Ovis aries: one gene and its partners. The protein of the gene in region 1 interacts with the protein of each later gene in a biochemical or structural test. Links are inferred from orthologs where the notes say so. Each region holds a gene or a part of one and is shown in the gene's direction. Other genes may lie near its edges.

Region 1 (3,445 bases):
TTCATTTTGTTTTTTCCATCTTATTTTACAGATGTATGTCGATTCCTGTGACGATGAGGGCTATTCGGAGGAAAGCTGAAACCATTCAGGCCGACACCCCAGCACTGTCCCTCATTGCAGAGACAGTTGAAGACATGGTGAAAAAGAACCTGCCCCCGGCTAGCAGCCCAGGGTATGGCATGACCACAGGCAACAACCCAATGAGTGGTACCACTACACCAACCAACACCTTTCCGGGGGGTCCCATTACCACCTTGTTTAATATGAGCATGAGCATCAAAGATCGGCATGAGTCGGTGGGCCATGGGGAGGACTTCAGCAAGGTATCTCAGAACCCAATTCTTACCAGTTTGTTGCAAATCACAGGGAACGGGGGGTCTACCATTGGCTCGAGTCCGACCCCTCCTCATCACACGCCGCCACCTGTCTCTTCGATGGCCGGCAACACCAAGAACCACCCGATGCTCATGAACCTTCTTAAAGATAATCCTGCCCAGGATTTCTCAACCCTTTATGGAAGCAGCCCTTTAGAAAGGCAGAACTCCTCTTCCGGCTCACCCCGGATGGAAATGTGCTCGGGAAGCAACAAGACAAAGAAGAAGAAGTCATCAAGATTACCACCTGACAAACCAAAGCACCAGACTGAAGATGACTTTCAGAGGGAGCTATTTTCAATGGATGTTGACTCACAAAACCCTATCTTTGATGTCAACATGACAGCTGACACGCTGGATACGCCACACATCACTCCAGCTCCAAGCCAGTGTAGTACTCCCCCAACAACTTACCCGCAACCAGTACCTCACCCCCAACCCAGTATTCAAAGGATGGTCCGACTATCCAGTTCAGACAGCATTGGCCCAGATGTAACTGATATCCTTTCAGACATTGCAGAAGAAGCTTCTAAGCTTCCCAGCACTAGTGACGATTGTCCACCCATTGGCACCCCTGTTCGAGATTCTTCAAGCTCTGGGCATTCTCAGAGTGCCCTCTTTGACCCTGATGTCTTTCAAGCCAATAATAATGAAAATCCATACACTGATCCAGCTGACCTTATTGCAGATGCTGCTGGCAGCCCCAGTAGTGACTCACCTACCAATCATTTTTTTCCTGATGGAGTAGATTTCAATCCTGATTTGTTGAACAGCCAGAGCCAAAGTGGTTTTGGAGAAGAATATTTTGATGAAAGCAGCCAAAGTGGAGATAATGATGATTTCAAAGGATTTGCATCTCAGGCACTAAATACTTTGGGGGTGCCAATGCTTGGAGGTGATAATGGGGAGACTAAGTTTAAAGGCAATAGCCAAGCTGACACGGTTGATTTCAGTATTATAGCAGTGGCTGGTAAGGCTTTGGGTCCTACAGATCTTATGGAGCATCACAGTGGTAGCCAGAGTCCTTTATTGACCACTGGGGACTTAGGGAAAGAAAAGACTCAAAAGAGAGTAAAGGAAGGCAATGGTGCCAGTAATAGTAGTCTGTCAGGGACAGGATTAGACAGCAAACCAGGGAAGCGCAGTCGAACCCCTTCTAATGATGGCAAAAGCAAAGATAAGCCTCCAAAGCGGAAGAAGGCAGACACTGAGGGAAAGTCTCCATCTCACAGTTCTTCTAACCGACCTTTCACCCCACCTACTAGTACAGGTGGATCCAAATCTCCAGGCAGTTCAGGACGATCTCAGACTCCCCCAGGTGTGGCCACACCACCCATTCCCAAAATTACTATTCAGATTCCTAAGGGAACTGTGATGGTGGGCAAGCCCTCTTCTCACAGTCAGTATACCAGCAGTGGTTCTGTGTCTTCCTCAGGAAGTAAAAGCCACCATAGCCATTCTTCCTTATCTTCTGCTTCCAACTCAGGCAAGATGAAAAGCAGTAAATCAGAAGGTTCATCAAGTTCTAAGTTAAGTAGCAGTATATATTCTAGCCAAGGGTCTTCTGGATCTAGCCAGTCCAAAAATTCATCCCAGTCTGGGGGAAAGCCAGGCTCCTCTCCTATTACCAAGCATGGACTGAGCAGTGGCTCCAGCAGCACCAAGATGAAACCTCAAGGGAAGCCATCATCACTTATGAATCCTTCTTTAAGTAAACCAAACATATCCCCTTCCCATTCAAGGCCACCTGGAGGCTCTGATAAGCTTGCCTCTCCAATGAAGCCTGTTCCTGGGACTCCCCCATCCTCTAAAGCCAAGTCCCCTATCAGTTCAGGTTCTGGTGGTTCTCACATGTCTGGAACTAGTTCAAGCACCGGCATGAAGTCATCTTCAGGGTTAGGATCCTCAGGCTCATTGTCTCAGAAAACTCCCCCATCATCTAACTCTTGTACAGCATCTTCCTCTTCCTTTTCCTCAAGTGGCTCTTCCATGTCATCCTCTCAGAACCAGCATGGGAGTTCCAAAGGGAAATCTCCCAGCAGAAATAAGAAGCCGTCTTTAACAGCTGTCATAGATAAACTGAAGCATGGGGTTGTCACCAGTGGCCCTGGGGGTGAAGACCCAATGGACGGCCAAATGGGGGTGAGCACAAATTCTAGCCATCCTGTGTCCTCCAAACATAACATGTCTGGAGGAGAGTTCCAGGGCAAGCGTGAGAAAAGTGATAAAGACAAATCAAAGGTTTCCACCTCGGGGGGCTCAGTGGATTCATCTAAGAAGACCTCAGAGTCTAAAAATGTGGGGAGCACGGGTGTGGCAAAAATTATCATCAGCAAGCATGATGGGGGATCCCCCAGCATTAAAGCCAAAGTGACTTTGCAGAAACCTGGGGAAGGTGGTGGAGAAGGGCTTAGGCCTCAGATGGCCTCTTCCAAAAACTATGGCTCTCCACTCATCAGTGGTTCCACTCCAAAGCATGAGCGTGGCTCTCCCAGCCATAGTAAGTCACCAGCATATACCCCCCAGAATCTGGACAGTGAAAGTGAGTCAGGCTCCTCCATAGCAGAGAAATCTTATCAGAACAGTCCTAGCTCAGATGATGGCATCCGACCTCTTCCAGAATACAGCACAGAGAAGCATAAGAAGCACAAAAAAGAAAAGAAGAAAGTAAAAGACAAAGATAGGGACCGGGACAAAGACCGAGACAAGAAAAAGTCTCATAGCATCAAGCCAGAGAGTTGGTCTAAATCACCCATCTCTTCAGACCAGTCCTTGTCTATGACAAGTAACACAATCTTATCTACAGACAGGCCCTCAAGGCTCAGCCCTGACTTTATGATTGGGGAGGAAGATGACGATCTTATGGATGTGGCCCTGATTGGCAACTAGGAACCTATTTAAAGCAAAAATATGGCCAGAGAAGAACTAAGTGTATAGGCAAATCACCATAAGGAGTGAGTCAGACAGGTCTGATTTTGTATTTAAGAATCTTAAATGGCATGGCTTTGACACCAAGTGGGATGAATTTTGAAAGGCATAGCCGGACCCTACTAAAGAGACCATAGGGTTTG
Region 2 (4,288 bases), on another chromosome or scaffold:
TTTATTCTGGCGGACATGTCTTTTTCCAATGATTATTCTGTGTTCAATGTTTTTGTAGCGATTTGAGACATCACCTTTATCATATGACAAATTTCCAAAAACTTTTGACTTTTAAATTTGCTGTTTGGGGATTTTCTATTCTGTTGCATAGCAGTGTGTTTCTCTCCAGTCAGGAAAGAAACTACACAATAAGTTCAACAGGAGAAGTCTACTATAAGAATTCCCAACTGTGATGGGAGATTAAGTGTAAGATGTAAGAAACTCTATAAAGCACCCAAGAGCCGAGGTAGAGTACCCAAGGAAGGACAAACCGGCGGGGTGGGGGTGTTCAGACCTCCTTGGAAAAGATAGTTTGGCCACTAAAATGTCCACTGGTTTTCCCAGACAAAAGTGGTCTGGAGTTGCAGGTGGGGAGCAGGCAGTCAGCATTTGGTGGTGTGGGCATGCCCTGGAAATCCAGTTGCCTGCCAGAGCGGAAGGCCTTCAGAGCATGCAGGTGCTGGTGATGAAGCTTGCACAAGGGACAAATTCTCTAACTCCTCAGGCCGTAGTCTGAATAGGTCATTGCAGAAAGGTTCTTGCCATGCCAGGGCTGCATGTTTGCAGTGGGATCTCGTTCTGGTCGCACAGGCTCCACTGGCTGTTCTCACCCACCATGTCAGCCTCTGCCCCTGCCAGAAATCACAGCGGCCTCTTCCTCCTGCAGTCCCTGCAGCGCCCTCTACTGAGAAAGCTTAGCACTGGGCTCAGTTTAAATGCTTAAAGGAATTCTATTTCCATAGAACATACACTACATATATTGAAGAGTGCATTAGAAGGTGAGAGGCAATAAATTGATCCTTGACAGGTGCATTGGCCTATGTATTCCTTTTTTTTATCATTGGCTATTCATGATATATTTGAAGATCTGTTAATGCTAGTCATGCTTACTGATCTACCCTTTGAGGTAGGTTTTTAAAATTTTTCTGTAAGAATTTAAAAATGAATTTATCTACTTCTAGGGGGAAAAAAACTGGTTGGCATTTTTACTTAATCGTATATTTTTTAAGTTTGTTTGTTTTTTCTCCAGAGATTGAACCCAGGCCACAGCACTGAGAGCCCAAAGTCATAACCACTAGGCTAGCAGGGAACTCCCTGTGTTTTTTAATTTTTAAAAGTATTTTATATTAAATTCTCATGGTAGAAAATTCTTATAGTTAACAACAAAAGCTTTATGGAAGTGAATGAAGGGAGAGAATGAATTCCATGCCTTTTATTCCTACCCCTCTGAGGTTGTGTGTATATTTTTCAGGATGTATTTCTGGGTCCATATAAGTGTGTGTGTGTAATAAAAATGTGTCAACCTTTTTCACAGTATGCTTGTACCTGTAACTTAGAAATGTCTTTTCTTTTTTCTTTACAGCCATACCTGTCCATGACTCTGAGAACATTATAATGTTCTTTTGTGCTTCTCACAAGGGGTTTTCCTAGCTGTTACCTACTCAAGACATGGATGTCAAAAACTCACCATCTAGCCTTAACTCTCCTGTCTCCTATAACTGCGGTCAATCCATTCTACCCCTGGAGCCAGGCCCCATATATTTACCCTCTTCCTATGTAGAGAGCCGCCATGAATACTCAGCCGTGACATTCTATAGCCCTGCTGTGATGAATTACAGTATTCCCAATAACTCAGAAGATGGGCCTGGTCGACAGACCACAAGCCCAAATGTATTGTGGCCAACTCCTGGACACCTCTCTCCTTTAGCCATCCATTGCCAGTCGTCACTTCTGTATGCAGAACCTCAAAAGAGTCCTTGGTGTGAAACCAGATCATTAGAACACACCTTCCCTGTGAACAGGTAAATCCAGTCTTCATTCTGAATTATATTATGGCCGATATTCAGATTGCTTTATGACTTAGTGAGAAGAAAGATATGTGTTATACAAGGTCTTCATTATCACATAGAGCACCTAGAACATCTGATGTTCTGAATTCTAGGATATCTATTCTGATATTCTAGTCCTTACTAAAAAGTTGAGCTTTTAGATCTGTGTTGTGGGGGAGAATTCACTTCATGACTATCTTTGGAAAATATTTAATTTAAATCACTTTCTTCTTGATGAAGTGATTTGAGTTTGAAAAAGGAATTTTTATTTTCAAGTTAGAGCCTTCCTATCTTGAAGTGAAATCACAACTTAGTGTTCATGACAAATTATGTCCAAGATAAAAGTAACCATTGGTATTACAACTCGATGAAATGCTAGACAGGTGAAAAGACAAACAGTGGTACAAATTTTTAAACAGTGAACTAAATAACATTTTATAAAGATTGACAGGAAACTAATGTGGACTTTAGTTGAACATTCTGAAACTCTAAGTGCAAGGTAACATCAGGGATTATTTGCATTCAATTTGTTATACGTACACACACGTATATATTTTGTGCTATGTGGCTGTGGGATCTTACTTCCCCAACCAGGGATTGAACTCGGATAGTTTTAATGATAATCATGGCTACAGAGGGCAGAGTTAGTATAGGCAGAAGCATGAGGGGGCATAACTTTACACAAGAACCCAAGTACTAAGTTATGGCATATTTGGTATTGAAGTTTATTACTTTCAAATTCATAAAACTTTGAGAAAGCCATATTACACACTAATTTTATTTTTCTTCTTTTTTAAAGAACTTTTTGATTGGTAAAAGAGAATATGAAAAATGTAGATGACTTTTTAAAAGTAATGTCTTCACATTCAACTTTTAAAGGAAGAAATATCTTATTTCTGAGGACAAGTTCTAATCAGAGCTCTGCTAATATTTGGGTACATTAAACCTCAGCATATTAAATTTATACATCAATCATACCTCTGCCATGTCCTTTCCAAAGGAAACATGCTGTAGCAAAATTAGGAACTAGCCCGGTGTGTTCTTGGTGTCTGCCGGTGGCCCACTGTGGGTTCCCCCTTCCTCTGTGGTAAGCCTCTCCACCCTGCATTGAACACCTGCTTTCTTCAGAGCCTTCTCAAGGGACAGGCATGTGTTTATGCTCTCCCCCTCTCCTCTTCTCTTCTCCTTCGCTTTCCCCTTTTCGCTACTGCTCCCACCCAGACTTGATGTAGTCACTGATTACAGAGATGTACACATTGATGGCTATAGCTAGTTCTCCATGGTAATCGGTGTTCATCCACACTGTGTGGATGGGTGTAAACTCACCTATCCACTTTCAGACACCAGCGATCCCAACAGAGCGACTCTTAATAGATCTGATATCAGTAACAAAGGTTTTGCTTGATCAGATCTCTTGGAATATATTTGTTATGAAGCCTGGAGGGCAAAGAGATACACGAGGCAATGTTCATGCTGTTCCTTTTTCTAGAAAGGCCTTGTTTTACCGTCAATGTTCTTTTACAGTGAATGTTCTCTTTGCCCCTAGGGAGACATTGAAAAGGAAAGCTAGTGGGAGCAGTTGTGCCAGCCCTGTTTCTAGTCCGAGTTCAAAGAGGGATGCCCACTTCTGTGCTGTCTGCAGCGATTATGCGTCGGGATATCACTATGGAGTCTGGTCATGTGAAGGATGTAAGGCCTTTTTTAAAAGAAGCATTCAAGGTACAAGAATGTTGTTAGCTGCTTTTTTTGTTTTCCACTTTGCTTTTAAACAATGTTGCGGATGACCTGGCAGAAATTTTACCTTTGTTTGGCCTGCTTGGTACACAGAGTACTTGGTGACTGTTTCAGAGGATCATGTGTCTTTGGGGGTGGGGGGATTGTTTCAAGTATAGAGTACTTTATCTTTCACTCAGATCTCTACCCCCAAACCCAAATGGATCTTGCACCACCATCACCTGTTGCCGTCTTCCTAGGAGGAAACATAACCTTTGTGAAGGCTGGAAAAAATGTGTGCCCATTAGGAACTGTGAAGATTGTTTCTTCCTTTGACTTATGTTTAATATCTAGCATATGTAACAGTTGAGATGGTGGGCTGGCTCCTGAGGAAGAGAGAATATGTTTTATGCAGTCAGTAGCTCAACTAGTGGAACCTCCTTTACATTCCTATTTTCTGGTCTGAGTTTAGACTGTTTCCCTTTCCTTCTCCAAATTTCTGCTAGGCTGGCTTTTTGTTTCTGTGATTTTGTTAAATCATCTCTTTAATCAATTTCAAATTGTACGCACCTGGTTTCAAGGCCAGTCAGCCCCTTGCCACACGTTTCCTTGCCAGGCCTAATTGCTGCAGGCACTTTCTTGCTTTCCTGTGCTCTTAGCTGTCTCTCTACCCCCATAACTCCTCCCTTGTCAGCCCTCCTTCCAGG
Region 3 (3,500 bases), about 540 kb from region 1:
GCCCCAGCCACTGAGGATGGAGTAGGTCAGAAAGGGCCTCTTCCCTTCTCTTCTCCCATCACGCCCTTGCCTGAGGTCCCCGAGATGAGCTGCTGCCGAGATTTGCTTCTCCTTCTCCTGTGTCCCCTGCCCCTGGGATGCAGCAAGAGAGAAAAGCCCTGAAGGGGCAATCAGAAGAACTGGATTCTCCATATTCTTAGGGAAGGGGATGAGCAAGATGACCTCTGTTATGTCTCCAGGACTCTGCCTGGAGACAGAGAACCCTTCAGGGAGGCTGGGCAAGGAAGGAAAAGTGGGGGGATGGAGAGAGTATCAAAGCCTCTCTGCTGGGGCCCCAAGCCATGCCTGCCTGCCTGCCTCCCTTCCTCCCTCCCAGGGTATATCCCTAGTTACCTGGACAAAGACGAGCAGTGTGTCGTATGTGGGGACAAGGCAACCGGTTATCACTATCGCTGCATCACTTGCGAGGGCTGCAAGGTATGGACCAGCCAGCTCCTGCCCCTCCCCCACCACCTGAGCCCCCGACTCGTTCCCTTAAGTCCCTCAGCACCTGGCCCGACAGACAGCTCTATAAACGTGTAACCTAAAGCCCACCTATTTCATCATCATTTCCCCTGTTCATTCATTTGTTCATTCATAGTCACTGCTCTGCCACTCCTAGGCAAGAGGCCTCATCTCTCTGAGCCTCAGGTTCTTCATCTATAAAATGGGTTAGGATAATGATAATACCTATCACATAGCATTGTTGGGGGAATTAAATGAGATAGTGCACATCGAGTATTTAACACGTGCCAAACAGAAAAGAAGCACTCAACAAATGTCTGCTTCCATCCATCCACTCAGTGTACTAAGTGTCAGATGTATAGTACCTGCCTTGACCTCAAGCTGCTCACAGCCTACCAGAGAAAGACTGACGTCAGCTGAAAGCAATATCAGTGTTTTTTAAATGTGGTTCCTGGACCGCCTATAGTACTTGTTAAGTGCAGGTCCCAGCCCTGCTCAATCAGAACATTCTGTGGTGGCTGCCAGGCATCTGCCTTGGAACAGGCTCCCCAGTTGCTTCCACTGCCCGTGAAAGGTTGAGAACCTTTGCTCGGGAGGGGCATGGTGGAGCCCAGAGGAGAGGATGGCAGAGTCTCCCTGGGCAGAGGGGACAAGGTCGTAGACTTGGGGAGACTTAATTAGATCTCACTTTGGGCATTTCAACCTACATGGTTTGTCTAGAGTCATCACCTCCTGAAAATATAAGACCTTTCAAGAAACAGAAAGATTAAGAATACATTGAGGCTTCAAGATCCTCTTTTCTTGCTGTCAGTCAAGCCAAGACCACCAGGAATGGAGAGTCCCCTAGCCGCATTCGTGGAAGCATTACCAGCAGTGTAGCACAGAACAGAGAGTCACACCCTCAAGGCCCTCTGAGTCCCAGTGGGTCATCCTAAAAGGACAGAGATGTCTTCCCACTCCTAGAGAGTCTGATGGTATAGGTTTAGAATGAGGCCCAGGAATCCGTATTTTTGATCGGTGGATTTTAATTGCACCCCAGAATCTGAGAGCTCAAACCTTGCGTCTCATACCTCAGGTCCAGTTCTGACCGTTTAGCCATATAACTTTGGGCAAATGGCTCAATCTCTCCAAGCTTCAGTTTCTTAGTCAGCAACATGGAGATAGTAACAGTTCCTACCTCATGGGGTTGACACCAGCATTAAAGGTGATGATACATGAAAGAAAAGGTTTAGAAGCTCCTGGCTCATTGTAAGTATGCAGCAGACGTTAGCCCTACATATTATTACTGCCATCTTGAGTCTTGAGGTTTTTTTTCCTTTAAAGCAAAGGTTAAACTCCGTATATAAAATTGAAAGTTTTCTTTTCAAGCTAATACTAGTCCATGCCCAATGCCTTTTCTTGATTTTTTTTTTACATTCTCCCTGCCCCTCCACCATTTCATGAATTCCACCTGCATAGGCAACAGGCAGTGTGTATGAGAATGGTTTGGGGCCAGTGTTGTTTCTAGAGTTGTTTAGCAAGATGGAAAATCAGGTATTAATTGGATGTCCACAGTGGCTGTTCCTTCAGGCCTCATCATATTTCACACCCTCCCAGGCTCAGAGCTCCTCTCCGTGGTCACCATCCTTACCTCTGCCACCACCACTCCCCAGGTACCCCGTAGGCAGTTGGGGGCTGAAGACGTGTGTTTCTAAGTCCTGGCAGAGCCCAGGTGATGCTGGGGTTGCTCTGTCCAGAGGATGCCAGGTCCCCTCACTAATTCCCCTAGCCCCTCACCCCCTGCCAGAGAGCTGCATGGTTGGTTCAGGAAGAGAAGATCATGATCACACCATGCTCTGTCTCTCCCCTCCACGCCCCCACTCCAGGGCTTCTTTCGCCGCACAATCCAGAAGAACCTCCATCCCACCTACTCGTGCAAATATGACAGCTGCTGTGTCATTGACAAGATCACCCGCAATCAATGCCAGCTGTGCCGTTTCAAGAAGTGCATCGCTGTGGGCATGGCCATGGACTGTAAGGGGATGGGTGGGGGGAACCGGGCCAGGCAGCTGAAGGGGGGGTGTGTTCAGATGTGGCAGCTCCCTTCCAGGGTACCCACAGGGCAGAGTGACCATCTGGGTCAGGCTGGTGATGGAATGAGTATTCAGAATCTTCAGGGAATTCAGCAGTCCCTGCGGCCCTCATCTCAGAAGAAAAGGAAACAGAGGATTCCTCTATTGGCCCTGAGCACGGGCCCTGGTGCCTACCTGCCTTTCGCCAGTCAAGGGTCTTCAGAGAGTTGTTGGGTAGAAATAAGTCCTGAGTACCGCACCATAACGCAGTATCTCTGACTGCCAGGGAAGGCACTCCAGTACTCTGTGGGGTGAGAGAGGGCCTCTTGTTAGCTGGGGACTGGATGGCTCAGTTTCCCAGTAACCATTGTCACCTTTAGACCAGAACATGGTATCCTCTGGGTTGGAGTTGATGTGGTCCCAGTGATGATCGTGAGCCAGGTTGTGCCACCCGATTACTAGGGAAGTCATTTAGCCTCTCTTGGCCCTTCCCCTCAGTTTCTCCAACCTGAACACTGGGAAGAGTAGTTTCTGAGCAGGTGGCAGAGTGTGCCATGCAAAGGGCATTGTGTCTGTTGTTGACAGTGGTTCTAGATGATTCGAAGCGGGTGGCCAAGCGCAAGCTGATTGAGCAGAACCGAGAGCGGCGACGGAAGGAGGAGATGATCCGATCACTGCAGCAGCGACCAGAGCCCACTCCTGAAGAGTGGGACCTGATCCATGTTGCCACGGAGGCCCATCGCAGCACGAACGCCCAGGGCAGCCATTGGAAGCAGAGGCGGAAATTCCTGGTAAGGAGAGAAGGGGCATGAGTGAGAGTGGCAGCCTGGTGGCCAGGCAAGGGGAGCGAATTCAGAGTCTCGCCTCCTCCAGGAAGCCTTCTTAGATTAGTCCACCCCAAAGCTGCTAGTCTGCACAGCTTGGCAGTTCTGATTTGTACACCTG
Region 4 (3,500 bases), on another chromosome or scaffold:
CCATCTGAAACCTTTCACCAGTCAGGAGGGACCCCAGACATAGCCCTGAGCTAGTAGCCGGCAGGATTGCAGGCGGCAGGTGAAGCTGAGGTCCTGACTTGCCCAAGGGAAGGCTCGTCAGCTGCTTCCTGAGAAGACTCTCCCAGAGCTATTATATTTTGTCCTCTCTGTCTCTTTTCCCTCCTTCTTCAAGTGTGAAATCTATCTCTAGATGATAATGCCTATTTATAAAAGCAGCCTCTGAAAACAAAATTAATTCCTATACGACTCACATTACTCAGAAGGATGTTCAGAACAATGCGTTGAATTTACATTGAAGGGAGAAGGGGGAGGGGGAAAGCTTTGATAACCTGGATACCAGGACAGCAAGGACACCAGGCTGTCCGTCCTGAGCTGTGGGGCTGCTTGGAGCTGGCATGACAGGGTCTGCTATGGGCAGGTAACCTGTCCTCTTCCCCTCACCCTGAAGGATAGAGGGGCTGAAGGTGTCCCTCTGTGTACAAGGCTGTTGGAGGCCCCCTTCCCTTTTGGAGGGGACCCTGGGCAAAGAGGCCTCTGACCTGCAGCAGGTCCACTGCTGAGGTGCAGCTGAGGCCAGTGATGTGGGTATCATTCACAAGAACCTTCCTCACACCCAGTGAAGTAAACACACTCTTCAGATGAGGACAGTGGGACGCAGAGAGGCAGGAGCCCTCACCCAAAGGAGTCCAGCCCGTAGGCACCAGCCTCTGGTTCTCCGGGCTTTGACGCCAGGCCACGCCATGAGCATCGCCACAGCGCCCCCTGCAGACGTGCTCCAGCCTGTCTGGGGAGACCCGCTTCTGCTTGTGGCCGGCAGCCTCAGGAGGGTGAGCTGGTGGCACCCGGAACCACAAAGCGAGGGCGCCAAGGATCCCACTGAGGCCTGGGCCCTGGGGACAGCTCGACTTTGCTGAGCTCCTGGCAGAAGGGCTGCCAGCGGCCTCATCCCCGCCTGCTGTTCTTGCAGCCATGGAGGCGACTGCGGCCAGCACTTCCTTACCTGACCCCGGCGACTTTGACCGGAACGTGCCCCGGATCTGCGGGGTGTGCGGGGACCGAGCCACCGGCTTCCATTTCAACGCTATGACCTGCGAAGGTTGCAAAGGCTTCTTCAGGTGAGTGCCCTGCAAGAGCGAGGAGTAGCGGGTGAGGAACAGAGTTTCCCGCAAAGAGACCCTGCGTGTTCTGTGTCTCCTTCCTCACCAGGCCCAGAAACACTCCCGTTCTCACAGCCACCCGGGCCAACAGGGTCTGTTTCTTCCTCCTCTGCCCTCAGCTCCAGCTTGTCCTCTGGCCCAACTGCTTCCTGGGTGGAAGCAGTTCATGTGAACCCCCATCCGTCCATCACCCCTTGACATACAGCCCCCTGCACCCACCCATGTCCTTCCAGAGTGAACCTCCTACCATTGATGATCAGAGCTTCCTAGTCCAGGAGACTGGCATGGCCTCCAGGAAGCCCAAGAACTTGGCCTCAGAGCACGCACCCCCACCCTCTCCCCTCCTGCCACCATCCAAACCAAACCATCCCCTGGAACAAGGGAAATGACATCCCTAGTTGGACCTCCATACTTGATCTGTGCACCACGACTTGCTTATCAAAGTTGGAAAGCTAACCTCAGAGTGTGCAGGAAAGCACACGCATTCTGGTTTGGTCAGGGCTAGTTTTTCTGCGAGCAGCCTCTTCTCTTTTCATGTAGGCCCAGCATTACCAGTGCAGACTGTATGGGAAAGTCCTGGAAAAGCTGGACAAAGGCTATTCCCATCTGGAGCCAGGGAGGGAGGAGAGAGAAGTGAGGAATGGCAGGGTGGGATTCAAAACCAGGAGAAGTTAGCATTTTGCATATTTTGGAGAGAGAAACAGAATGGAGCCTGGAAGAAGGCAGCCAAAAATGAGCTTCTATGTAATAGTCTTGCTGAGGGTGAGTAAAGCTAATGGCAGGGCTTTCCATCAAAGAGAGGAAAGAGCGAATCAAGTCCAGAACAAGGAATCCATTTCCCTGAACTGGCACTGAGGGCAGCGTGAATCAGAGTTAGAATCCTAACTCACCTGCCCTCTGCGGCAGAAACTGGCAGGCCTGGAGTTTGATTGCCTTGAGCCACCGTGCCGAGGCCCCTTTGAGTCTGAGCTGACTGACGGCCACTACTCCCTCCTGCAAGGTCTGGTGTTATGGTCAGCAAGCTGCTTTTATCTTGCTTCCCTGTCCTCCATCTACCTTATAACTTTACTGCCTCTGCCTTGATGACAGCCCAGGCTGCACTTTTTGAAGAGCCAACATCTCTCCCATTGTTTGGCTTGAATTCTGTTTTATAAATATGCACAGTTGATCCTCATTGTTTGTGGAGTCCACATCTGCAAATCTGACGACCTGGTAAGCTTTACTTGTCATCCCCAGATCAATACTTGCAGCTCTGGTGTTTCTGGACACGTGCAGAGTGGAGAAAAATTCTGTCTCTCATTGTACACGTTCCCAGCCAAGGCTGAGCCAGACATTCTGCCTTCTGTTTCAATTCTCACACTATGAACAAGTGTCCTGTTCTTGGTATATTTAGTGCCATCCTTTTTGCACCTTTGTACCATTTGATAGTGATTTCACTGTGTAAGGTGGCACCCAAGCATGGTGCTGAAATTCTTTCAGGTTCTCCTAAGCATGTGAAAGCTGAAAGGCGCCTTACAGAGAAAAGACATGTTAGACAAGCTTTGTTTAGACACAGGCTTTTTAGCTGTTGGCTATGAGTTCAATGTTAATGAGTCAACAACATGTGTTAAATAAGGTGCGTTTAAATAGATGCCTCACATGAAACAAAGTTATTTACTGATGGACTGATGAAAGCATTGTGACCGGAGGCTCACAGGAACCTAATCCAAATTCTCCTAGGAGCGATGATTCAATATTTGCTGATTCGGCATTCATGATGGCTTTATGAATGTAACTACCACAAAGAACAAGAATAGACTGTCTGCATATAATTTCTCCTCCTCTCTCCCCTCCACATACTTCTCCTCCTTTGCTTCATCCATATACTATTTGATAATCTTCTTCTTTAGTCTATTTCAAATAGCTGTTTGAGAATTCCATTGTCAGTTGTATCTGTCTGCAGAATCCTCATCCTGGGTAGGAAGGCCTCTGTCAGAAGGAGGTCCTTCTCTGCGTTGGGTACCGCATCCTTGAGAACACAAAGATAGCACAAGCCCTTGCTCTCCAGAAGCTCTCTCAGCCCTGCAAGAGCAGTTCTCAAGGAAAAAGCATTACCTTAGGGTTGAGCCACTGACTATATTCTAACCCCTGGGATATAAGCCCCTTTGACCATTTAGTGTTTGATTGACTTCTTAATCAAACTAAATTGCTCTAGAAGTGAGTTGTGATCATTTCAGCAAGTCTAAGACTCATAATCAAATCAAAGTGTGATTATGGGGGTTGGTTGGTTCTATTGACCTATGGTCAAGAATTAGAGACTATTGCCAGCCAGTCACTCCTGCA
Region 5 (2,829 bases), about 750 kb from region 1:
CACCTGCCCTCTCACTGTGCGGCCTGGGCCCTCCACAGCCGTGAGAAATGACCGGAACAAGAAGAAGAAGGAGGTGCCCAAGCCTGAGTGCTCTGAGAGCTACACGTTGACACCGGAGGTGGGGGAGCTCATCGAGAAGGTGCGCAAAGCGCATCAGGAGACCTTCCCTGCGCTCTGCCAACTGGGCAAATACACTACGGTATGGCCCACCCCCCGCCAACCTCATGCCCTCCAGCTGTCAGGCCTGCCCCTCCCCCAGGCTGGGCAAATACACTTCGGTACAGCCCCCCAGGGGCACACCTGCTTCTTCCAGGCCTGCCCCTCCGCAGCCCTGCTTGGGCTGCCTTGTCTGCCCCTTCCCCGCCTCTCAGGAAGTGAAGGCCAGTAGAGGGCAGGCCTGTGGGGCGGGGCAGGTAGAGCCAGGCCCAGAAGGGTGCCACCAGGGGAAGGCCCTCACTTTCCTCCCCCTGCCCCCCCCATCCGCCCAGAACAACAGCTCAGAACAGCGTGTCTCCCTGGACATTGACCTCTGGGACAAGTTCAGTGAACTCTCCACCAAGTGCATCATTAAGACTGTGGAGTTCGCCAAGCAACTGCCCGGCTTCACCACCCTCACCATTGCGGACCAGATCACCCTCCTCAAGGCTGCCTGCCTGGACATCCTGGTGAGGGTCTGCACCTTGCCCACCTAGGCACTGCCCCCTGTGTTCTTGGAGGATGTCCTGCCGCTCAAATAAGCACCTTCCTAAAAATCTGTCTGGAGTCAACCTGTCCAAAGGCCCACCCACCCAAACAGCCACCTTTGCTCTCTCCCGCATGTCTACCTGTCTGCTTAGCCACCCAGCACCCGGTGTGCACCATTCACCTGTACTCTCATTCGTCCATCCTCAGCCCATCTTTGATTCAGTGCTTCCGTCCAGCCACCCATCTTCCCATCTATTCAGTCTAATAAAGGTTCACCTGGGACCCTGTATGGCCAGGCCTTGAACTGGGTTTCAGAACAGAGGTGAACACACCACTGTCCCCTCTTGAGAATCTTCCATTGGTGGAGGCAACAGATAGGTAAACAGAGGTTGCAAAACTGTGATAAGTGCTGGCTGCAGATAGGGGAGGGCTGTCCCCTCCCTGCAGGACAGAGAGCCGCACTGCTGGGCCCTAGGGAAGAGCCCCAGAGGAGGTAGCCTCTAGAGGTGTGTAGAGCGGTATGTGGAAGGCCTGCTGGTGTGGGACCAGTGGGATTCAGGGGCCTGCAGGGCATTTGGTGGGGCCAGAGGGTAGGCTGGACTTGAGGCAGGATGGGGGCGGATGAGACTGTCAAATCCAAGGCTGGAGGGAGGCTTGTCCTCCCTGTCTTCCTCAGCCCTCCTGTTCCCTCTTGGCGACCTCCAAGGTCGGGAACCTGGGCTGTGACCAGGCTGCTGCTCCTGGTGGAAGGGAGATGCAAGAGGCAGGGTCAGGGTTTGAGAGAGCTGAAGATGAGGTACATTTACTGAGCTCTTGTTCTGTACCCAGCCCTGGGAACCATAGACCGAAACCCCCTTTGGTTTGGGCCTTCCTGGAAATGTTTTGTCTCCCTCTTAATTCTCTGTGTGGAGGCAGGATGCTGTAGATTTGCACTGTCTAATACAGTAGCCGCTGGCCATGTATGGCTGTTTTAAATTGAAATTAATTAAAATTAAATTCAGTTCCTCAGTTGCACTCAGCATGTCTCAAGTGCCCAGCGGTCACCAGTGTGACTGGTGGCTACTGTGTTGCACAGAAGGTTCTGTAGAACCGTAGTGGTCTGGCTGCCGGCCAGGTGGTCCTGGGGGGGATGCTGGTGCCGGAAGTGCTGGCGGATGTGAGTTCCTGAACTCGAGAACCCTCTGCACCCAGATCCTGCGGATCTGCACGCGGTACACGCCCGAGCAGGACACGATGACCTTCTCGGACGGGCTGACCCTGAACCGGACCCAGATGCACAACGCCGGCTTCGGCCCACTCACGGACCTGGTCTTCGCCTTCGCCAACCAGCTGCTTCCCCTGGAGATGGATGACGCTGAGACTGGGTTGCTCAGCGCCATCTGCCTCATCTGTGGAGGTGGGCAGGGGCCCTGGGTCTGGGGGCCAGGCTCAGGGGTGGTGGTGTGGCTTGCGGAGCCTCTCCCAGGGAGAAGCTGGGGGATCATTTGATCAGAAAGGCACCTGTCAGACAGGAAACTGAGTCCCAGTGGAGTAGGATCTGGTCTGTGGCCACAGGGCAAGGGAACAGTGATGGAGACCTGAGCTCTGGTTCCCTATTTCCAGGCAGCGCTCCTTACAGGGGGCTTACGAGTGAGGACTTGGAGGTCAGACCACCCAGGTTCAAATCCTGGCCAACATGTGACCTTCAGCAGGGTCGCTGAACTTCTCTGAGCCTCCATTTCTGTAAAATGGGGGCAGTAATGGTCTCCACTTCATAAAGTTGATGGGAGGATTAGGAGGTAATAAATAAGGCACAGTGTGCCCAGAGTAAGACCCAGGAGATGTTGGCTGCTGTTACTATTTTATTGACATGAGTGCTGCCATGTTGGGCTGGTGTCCAGAATAACCAGCAGGAGTGGGAGACCTACCTCTACTTAAGATGGCACTGCCTGTGTTTAGGGGTGTGGGCTCTCAGGGTGAGCTTTGGGACACCCTTGTCCCCAGCCCCTCTTTGCTCACATTTGCCCCTCTTTGCTCACATTTGAGAGCCTCTTAGGGCCTCTGTGTGTGGGGAGGCGTGGGGAGCAACGATACTCTGCCTGTGGCCTGGACAGGGGCGCCCCCTGGTGGTCACGATGGGGCCCGCAGCTGTGCTCCTCACCGGAC
Region 6 (3,500 bases), on another chromosome or scaffold:
GAGAAATGCTTATTTTGATACTGAACAAATAAGGAAGGGTCTGTGGCATCATTATATTTTTAATATCATGTAACATATCTAATCTAGATCTACAAGAATAAAAGCTATGCATAAAAACCCACCAGTGAACATTTGTCCAAACTCCTTGATAGAACAAAACAGAGCAAAATTCTGACATCAGTTATTCATTTGTTTTGGAATCAGAGGACAGGTGATCTGTTACAAAGAATTTTCCTTCTCATGTCTTTAATATTAAAAATAATTAGATTTTTACCAAAATAATTATTTCTTTTATACAAATCTAAGAGTTGTTGCTTTCTGTTCTATTTTGGAGAGATTAAGAGTTTTTGAAAATATGGCCCCTTGTGTTCATTTTTTTCCTTTAAAATATTTGTTTCTGCTGATGCATTTTGGTACTACAGCCTGGTGTTTTCTAGGTTAAGATGCTGAACCAAGCCTCAAAGAATCTCTGCCAAAAAAGCTGGAGTCTCTCTGCTCCTTTAATTAGTTAGGGGGAACCACAGCTGGTAAATCTTTGAGGGAAGACTATTTTCAACTCTTTTAAAACTTTAATATTAGGAAAATAGAAAGACATTTGTGACATCTTAGAACCTAGTCAACAAGTTGAGGCCCTTGAGTCGATTACTCAGGTGATGAGGTACAGCTTAGTAGTAATAATAGATTGACTCAACATCTGTGGAGGCTAGAGACTGTCAGATACATTTTGGATAAATGATTCCTTTTTAGTGTCTCCCATTAAGAGGTCTACTTGGGTAATAAGGACACTTATTAAATACTTTCTAAAGATGCTTTTTAAATTTGCTATTGAAAGAATATTCATAGCAGGAGCAATCTTTGATATGGCATATTTCAAGAGTAGCTAATTAATATGTTGTCTTTTTTATAGCATCTGTTACACATACACACACACACACACACACACACACATCCTGCAACAGTATGTAAGAGCAACTTGCACTGGCTCACAAAAGCCTATTGTTAAATTTGTAGGAGTTTTGTACACTGCTTGATCTCAGACAGGAAGCTTGAAATTTGCCATGGTGGGAGTCATTACACCATGGAAATTGGTGAATGCTACAAATCAAAGCCTTTTTTTCCCCTCTCGTGGACAGCTGGTTGTTAAACACTTAGAAGCACAACTGTGTCCCAAACTATTTCCTAAAATAAAATAAAGGGCTGTTAGCATTAAAAATGGTTTTCATGTGAAAGTTTATATGAGCAAAAGAATAAGCTATTTTTGTGTGTGTGTTCTCAGGGATACGGAAAGACCGAAGAGGAGGGAGAATGTTGAAGCACAAGCGCCAGAGAGATGATGGGGAGGGCAGGAACGAAGCGGTGCCCTCCGGAGACATGAGAGCTACCAACCTTTGGCCAAGCCCGATCATGATTAAACACACTAAGAAGAACAGCCCGGTGTTGTCCCTGACGGCTGACCAGATGATCAGTGCCTTGCTGGAGGCTGAGCCCCCCATAATCTATTCTGAGTATGACCCTACCAGACCTTTCAGTGAGGCTTCAATGATGGGCTTGCTGACCGGCCTTGCAGACAGGGAGCTGGTACACATGATCAACTGGGCAAAGAGGGTGCCAGGTAAGAAGACTAAGCTTGACTTTTATTTTGAGCAGCCATTAACTATTCATGAACAGGTTGCCATACGTATCATGGGAGAGATAGTGGGACACAATAGCTTGTTATCTAGTTGATTTTAAAGTCATATCAGAACTGATTAATTTTCAGTATCTATACAGTCTTAATTCTCCTGGAAATTAGGAAATAGTGTTTTGAAATAAAAATCTAGATGATTAAAGTCTTTAATCTGACATTATTTTTTTAACCCATCAATATTCACCCCCCCCCCAAATCTGGGGTGAACACTAGATAATAAATGCATTTAATATTATATGTTCACTGTGGCAGAAATTTTTAACACGAAATGATCCATGTCCTATAAATTTTTAATGTTGAGGACTTTTGTTCAAAACACCTAAATTGTGAGTCATCAATTTTACTGTACAAGATTTTATTTTCAGGTATTTATGAGCTAAAGAAATAATAAGTTTTTTTTTTTTTTTACTGAGTGCCAAATATTCATTGAGCCATCTATTAACAGTTTAGAAACAAGGTAATGCAATAGAAAAATCAACTAGGTTCTCATCTCTGAGGGGAGCTTGTGGAGAGATAACAGTGGCTAAAGTTATACTTGATTCTTCAGCTGATATTCTCAGAACTGGTGTTTTTATAAAACATGACTGTTGCTCTATTGTTCAGGGGGAAGAACTCTAGTTATTATGGAAACAAGACTAGAAAATGACCTCCTCCATACCCCATCATATCCATTCAGGAGCTAACATAGATGAATCAAGGCAAGAGGAAGTTAAATCTTCTTTTCTGTGCTTATAGATCAAACAAGTAATGAATTTAGATAGTGACTATCTTGTGAGTTTTCTTTTAGTTCAGTTCAGTTCAGTTCAGTTCAGTCGCTCAGTTGTGTCCGACTCTTTGCGACCCCATGAATCGCAGCACGCCAAGCCTCCCTGTCCATCACCAACTCCTGGAGTTCACTCAAACTCATGTCATCGGGTCGGTGATGCCATCCAGCCATCTCATCCTCTGTCGTCCCCTTCTCCTCCTGCCCCCAATCCCTCCCAGCATCAGGGTCTTTTCCAGTGAGTCAACTCTTCGCATGAGGTGGCCAAAATATTGGAGTTTCAGCCTCAACATCAGTCCTTCCAGTGAATACCCAGGACTGATCTTCTTTAGGATGGACTGATTTCTTTTAGTAGATGAACTTATTATCTATGAAGCATGCATTTTGTTTTTTATTAAACTAAATAAATAAGGAGTTTTGTAGTTACATTTCAGAGATTATAGGCCAAGTGAATATATATCTGGCCTTAGATTTGCATTTATTAACATGTAAGCATGTCGTCTTTTGAATAAGGAGCCAGCAATTTTGTGATCCAAACTGGATAGAAGGCATCTATTTAGGTGGCAGAGGTTGGGTTACATGGAAACATGGGGATTCACAGGCATATTTAGATTTTGAGTCAGTCCAACTGGCAAATAAAGACTCCCAGCCATATTTGGAATTAGGAGTTTTAATGAGCACTTCTCTACCTTAATATTCCTTTGTGAGGCAGATCCATGATAAGTAAATATTGGAATTTAAATGTAATGTGGTAAAGGAGGCAAGAATATACAACAGAGTAAAGACAATCTCTTTAACAAGTGGTGCTGGGAAAACTGGTCAACCACTTGTAAAAGAATGAAACTAGATCACTTTCTAACCCTGCACACGAAAATAAACTCAAAATGGATTAAAGATCTAAATGTAAGACCAGAAACTATAAAACTCCTAGAGGAGAACATAGGCAAAACACTCTCCGACATAAATCACAGCAGGATCCTCTATGATCCACCTCCCAGAATTCTGGAAATAAAAGCAAAAATAAACAAATGGGATCTAATTAAAATTAAA
Region 7 (4,288 bases), on another chromosome or scaffold:
TGCCAACAAAGGAGGACAAGCTCCCAGGCCTCCAGAATCGTAGGTCCTTCTCCCCAGACCTGCACTTTCCACCTCTACCTCGAGACCTTATCTGCCCAGCTAGATCGGGAGCTCTTGCCCCTGTCTGTGTAGCGGGCAGTGAGGGCTGGAGGGGATGAGAAGAAAAACGTTAGGCGTGAATTGAAGGCCACAAGATTAGCAGGGCCCAGTCCCAAACAAAAATGCAGGCCCCTTGCTCAGAATAGCCGAGCATGAAAGCAAACACAGGAGCGTGAGAGGGGAGCTCCTTTGCCCCAGAGTGCACTGCTCGGGTGGCTTGCCCGCGAACCCCGCTCACGAACCCCGCTCTGGAGGGAGGAGAGAAACAAGGGAGATTTGAAAGGGAGGCCAAGAGGGTGGGGGTGGAGGGAAATGGATACCTGCTTGGTGTTTTCCTAACGCCAACTCATTTAATACTCAGACCACCCTTTGAAGTTGATTGTGCATTTTTCTAGAAGAGGAAACTGAGGCTCAGAGAGGAGAATCATTTACCCAGAGTCATGATTAGTAGGTGGTAGGCGCCTGAATGTTAATCCGGGTCTAAGGGACTATAAGCCTCCCTTCTTCCCTGGGGGGTGGGGGAGGCACGGGGTGGAGGGGGGGGAGCTGGAGGAGGTGACAAGGAAAGGGGTGATAGAATCTGTCTGGGCCTGAGCACCTGGGCACTGTGGGGGCTGGTGGTTGCCAGAGTGTGGTCCTGGGGAGCAGGGGAGGGGACCTAGACAGGAGTCTGGGCCTCTCAGTCCTTCCTGCCCCTAGGGAAGGCAAGAAACCGGAAGGGGCCTCCTAGAACGAGGATCTAGAAACCTGGTATGTGGGGCCTGAGACCGACGCTTCTGATTCATGAGCCATGAGACGGCGTTATCTCTATAAGAGGGTTGAAGTCAATGATTTGGGAAGTTCCTGAGTTAGGGCGTCTTGGAGGTGGGCTGTCAGTGTCTGGGGGCGCGTGTGAGCATGTCAGTATCAGCATGACTTGGGGTGACAGTGACTCAGAGGGTGGCTGAGTCAGGGTCCAGTGAGTGCTGGAGAAACAGCATGTGTCCGTCGTCTCACAGGACTGGTAACACGTTATTGGGGTGTTAGGGCCCCCCATCTGTTGTAAGAGCACCCTGGTGTCAGCCAGAAACCAACAGACAGCCAAATCCCCAGGGCCCCGCCCAGCCAGTCCACCGGGGTGGGGGGGGGGAGCCGATTAACCATTAACCCCCACCCCTCCCCAGCAGAGCCTCCACCCCTGCGCAGAGGCTAGGCCCAGACTCCCGGCAGACCCTCCCAGAGGACGGTTTGAAACGCAGGAAGGCAGAGAGGGCAGCTGGGAGGAGGCGGTGGGAGGGCGGAGCGCAGAGGCCGGGGCTCAGCCCAGAGCCTTCGGGGTGGGCATCCTGGGCAGGGCAGGCGGCCGAGGCGGGGAGAGGGAGGATGCGCCTCTCCAAAACCCTTGTCGACATGGACATGGCCGACTACAGTGCTGCGCTGGACCCAGCCTACACCACCCTGGAGTTTGAGAATGTGCAGGTGTTGACGATGGGCAATGGTAGGTGGGGGCAGGTGTGCCCAGGTGTGCCAGGTGGGGGCAGGTGTACCCAGGTACCGGAGCGAGTCTGACGCACTGGGTTTGGGGCTGGGGGGACAGCGGTAGCTGAGCGTGGTGGTCCCGTCAGTGAGGGCACAGGTGTTGCCAGGTGAAGTCAATGTTCCCAGGTACAGTGACCAGAAGCCTTCGGGGTGGTGGCGGGGGGCGGGGTGGTCTGCCAGGGCCATCTGCAGCAAGAGTAGGCCCTGGGTGTTCCTGCCAGGCCTTCGTGGTCCCTGTGACCAAAGCTGTCGCTGTGCAGCATGTCACTGGGAGCGGGGACTTCATGGTGAGCGTCCTCTCGGCATCCAGCCCCAGCCATTGGGCCCAGCATGACCTCTGCTTGAACCCCTTGGGCCGAGGTCCAGAGAGATGGAAAGGTTATGTCCCGTCCCCAGAGACGGTGGATGGAGACATGACTGTGTTTCAGGGTGTCTTTGGGACTTTCCTGGGGTGAACGCCCCACTTAGAGAAAATGGAGTTCTCAGGGAGGTTTTGCTAAATGAGATGGGGATCAACAGTGCGCATGGGCACGCGCATTGTGTGTGTGTGTGTGTGTGTGTGTGCGCACACGCACAAGCTCACTGGTATGCGATTGTAACCTCCCATTGGCATGGGTGCTTGAATTTCCATGTACACACGTGGGCAAGCGGTGGACTTTGTTGCAAATGTATGTCTGCAGGAACCCATTTGCATGTTTGTGTTCACTGGTCTGTGTGTGCACGTGTTCTGCATTTGTTTCTAGTTGCATTTCTTCTTTGAGTGGGTCCGTGTTTGTTGTTATCTCTAGGGATATCTGTGTTTATCTTGCTTATGTCCATAAGTGGCGATGAGTGTGTGTACAGTAAGCGGCAATGTGTGTATACGGTAAGCAGTGATGAGTGTGTATGTGTGTCCATGACGTTTGCACGTATGAGCTCTGGACGTGGATTGGTTTGTGCGTCCTGGGTTTCCTGGACATATATCCAGTTTGGGCATCCTGTCTCGTGCCCCTATTTGTACCTGCTTGTGTACGTGTGCACATCCCCGTCCTGGGGGGTCAGCTCTCTTCAGCGCTCATGTGATATGCCGTTGCCATTCACACACGCGAGTCACATCAGCAACACGTCCATTTGTCTCAGACCAGATTGCGTTGCCTGTGTGTCTCCCCAGGTTTGTACATCCGCTCCCGTTATCACTGAGAGCACATCTCCTCCACAAGGAGGTGGGGGAAGGGAGGAGGCTTGGAAGCCAGGATGCGGGGACCTGACCAGTCACAAGCCAGCCTGAGGAGGAGGGCAGCCCACCTGCCTTCCTTCCATGGTTCTGCAGCTTTAGCCAAGCTCTGTAGCACTTGAGTCAGCTCAGCTCAGCCAGAGGGAGGTATTTGCCCTGCCCGTGGTCAGTGGGCGTGATGCGTGGTCGCTCTCACCATTTGCTCACCTCCCCCTGCCATTCACTCACTGTGTGACCTTGGGCATGTCACCTCCCCTCTCCTGGCTCCTTCTGCAGAATGGGCTTAGTCACTCCAGGCCTGCTGGCTTTCAGGAGTGTCCAGGGATCACGTGAGGGAGCTGAGGGGAAAACATGTAGGACACAGTAAACAGGAAGCTGCTGCACTCGGTGGGGTGTGTGTGACCCCAGAGACAGCGTGCGAGACACCGACCACCGTCTAGCCCTGGACTGTCCCATCACCCCTTCAGAGTGGGTGCCTCCAGCTCCCAGGAAGTGTGTGTCCCCGAGGCAGGGGCTAAGCTCCTTACGGGATGTCCTAAAGACAGGCCAGCTCTAGCTCTGGAGCCAGAAAGATCAGGGCTCCAATTCTGGCATCCATCCTTCCTACCAGTGTAAACTTATGAAGCCATTTTCCTCTCTGAGCCTCAATTTTCTCATCTGTAAAATGAGAATAAATCATAGTGCCTGCCTCCCAGGGCTAACCAGAGGATCCCATGTGATAAGGCACCTGAGGGCTTAGCACTGGTAACTGGTCCTGCGCCCTCCATGAGTCAGGTCAGGAACTCTGAGCATCTTTAAGAAGGGTCTACATTCCCCATTGGAGTTTGAAGTGGGCCAGAAAGTTGGGGCGATGTTTTGCATATGTGCTGGGTTGGTAGCTCAAAGGTTCTAAGCTCCCTACCCACCTCCCATCCCTGATTCAGAAGGACCAGGGGGTCCTTTATCAGAGGCTCCAGCAGACACGCCAACAGGACAGCACTGGCCAGATCAGCACCAGCCTGCATGCCTGGACCATAAATCTGACTCCTTTACTTAGCAGCAGTGTGATCTCTGGGAAGGTCCTGTCCTTTCTGAGCCTTGATGTTCTCACCTGGAGAATGGGCACCATCCCCTGACCCTGGGGTGTAGGATGAGCTACTTGGCAGCACCCAGCCTATCCTGCCCAGGATGTGTGAGCCCTTCCCCCAGTCTCCGCCTGAGTTGTAGGGTCAGCTGTCCCGGTGGTTGGAGGAGGCAAGGCTGGAGGAGAAAGGGCACCAATGCAGCTTAACAATTATCCTCATCTCCAGGAATAATTCACCAAGTGGAGGGGGCCGTGCTCCTGGGCACCCTCGGAGGCGACGAGATGTTCAGCCAGGACATGACAGAAATGAGATGTGGCAGTGTGTCCGCTTGTGCCTGGAGGCTGGAAATCATCTGCTCCCAGAGTCGTCTTTTGCAGAAAAGTTTTTATTTTAC

The links.
Region 2: the proteins of MED1 (region 1) and ESR2 form a complex in vitro, tested with the Homo sapiens proteins (2 studies listed by BioGRID). The link is inferred for Ovis aries from reciprocal best matches to the Homo sapiens genes MED1 and ESR2.
Region 3: the proteins of MED1 (region 1) and THRA form a complex in vitro, tested with the Homo sapiens proteins (6 studies listed by BioGRID, with this or other methods). The link is inferred for Ovis aries from reciprocal best matches to the Homo sapiens genes MED1 and THRA.
Region 4: the proteins of MED1 (region 1) and VDR form a complex in vitro, tested with the Homo sapiens proteins (5 studies listed by BioGRID). The link is inferred for Ovis aries from reciprocal best matches to the Homo sapiens genes MED1 and VDR.
Region 5: the proteins of MED1 (region 1) and RARA are reported together in a solved structure, tested with the Homo sapiens proteins (2 studies listed by BioGRID, with this or other methods). The link is inferred for Ovis aries from reciprocal best matches to the Homo sapiens genes MED1 and RARA.
Region 6: the proteins of MED1 (region 1) and ESR1 form a complex in vitro, tested with the Homo sapiens proteins (6 studies listed by BioGRID). The link is inferred for Ovis aries from reciprocal best matches to the Homo sapiens genes MED1 and ESR1.
Region 7: the proteins of MED1 (region 1) and HNF4A form a complex in vitro, tested with the Homo sapiens proteins (2 studies listed by BioGRID). The link is inferred for Ovis aries from reciprocal best matches to the Homo sapiens genes MED1 and HNF4A.

The regions. Positions count from the first base shown.
Region 1 is NC_056064.1:39,589,409-39,592,853, reverse strand, and holds part of MED1 (mediator of RNA polymerase II transcription subunit 1), read left to right. Parts: intron 1-31; coding exon 32-3,263; 3' UTR 3,264-3,445. UniProt on the Homo sapiens protein: Component of the Mediator complex, a coactivator involved in the regulated transcription of nearly all RNA polymerase II-dependent genes.
Region 2 is NC_056060.1:74,529,710-74,533,997, reverse strand, and holds the start of ESR2 (estrogen receptor beta), read left to right. Parts: upstream 1-1,488; coding exon 1,489-1,841; intron 1,842-3,414; coding exon 3,415-3,587; intron 3,588-4,288.
Region 3 is NC_056064.1:40,132,230-40,135,729, forward strand, and holds part of THRA (thyroid hormone receptor alpha), read left to right. Parts: intron 1-376; coding exon 377-477; intron 478-2,369; coding exon 2,370-2,517; intron 2,518-3,140; coding exon 3,141-3,346; intron 3,347-3,500.
Region 4 is NC_056056.1:138,709,084-138,712,583, forward strand, and holds part of VDR (vitamin D3 receptor), read left to right. Parts: intron 1-988; 5' UTR 989-990; coding exon 991-1,136; intron 1,137-3,500.
Region 5 is NC_056064.1:40,341,174-40,344,002, forward strand, and holds part of RARA (retinoic acid receptor alpha), read left to right. Parts: intron 1-38; coding exon 39-199; intron 200-488; coding exon 489-665; intron 666-1,875; coding exon 1,876-2,080; intron 2,081-2,829. UniProt on the Homo sapiens protein: Receptor for retinoic acid. Retinoic acid receptors bind as heterodimers to their target response elements in response to their ligands, all-trans or 9-cis retinoic acid, and regulate gene expression in various biological processes.
Region 6 is NC_056061.1:76,733,430-76,736,929, forward strand, and holds part of ESR1 (estrogen receptor), read left to right. Parts: intron 1-1,276; coding exon 1,277-1,612; intron 1,613-3,500.
Region 7 is NC_056066.1:72,778,024-72,782,311, forward strand, and holds the start of HNF4A (hepatocyte nuclear factor 4-alpha), read left to right. Parts: upstream 1-1,488; coding exon 1,489-1,576; intron 1,577-4,288. UniProt on the Homo sapiens protein: Transcriptional regulator which controls the expression of hepatic genes during the transition of endodermal cells to hepatic progenitor cells, facilitating the recruitment of RNA pol II to the promoters of target genes. Activates the transcription of CYP2C38.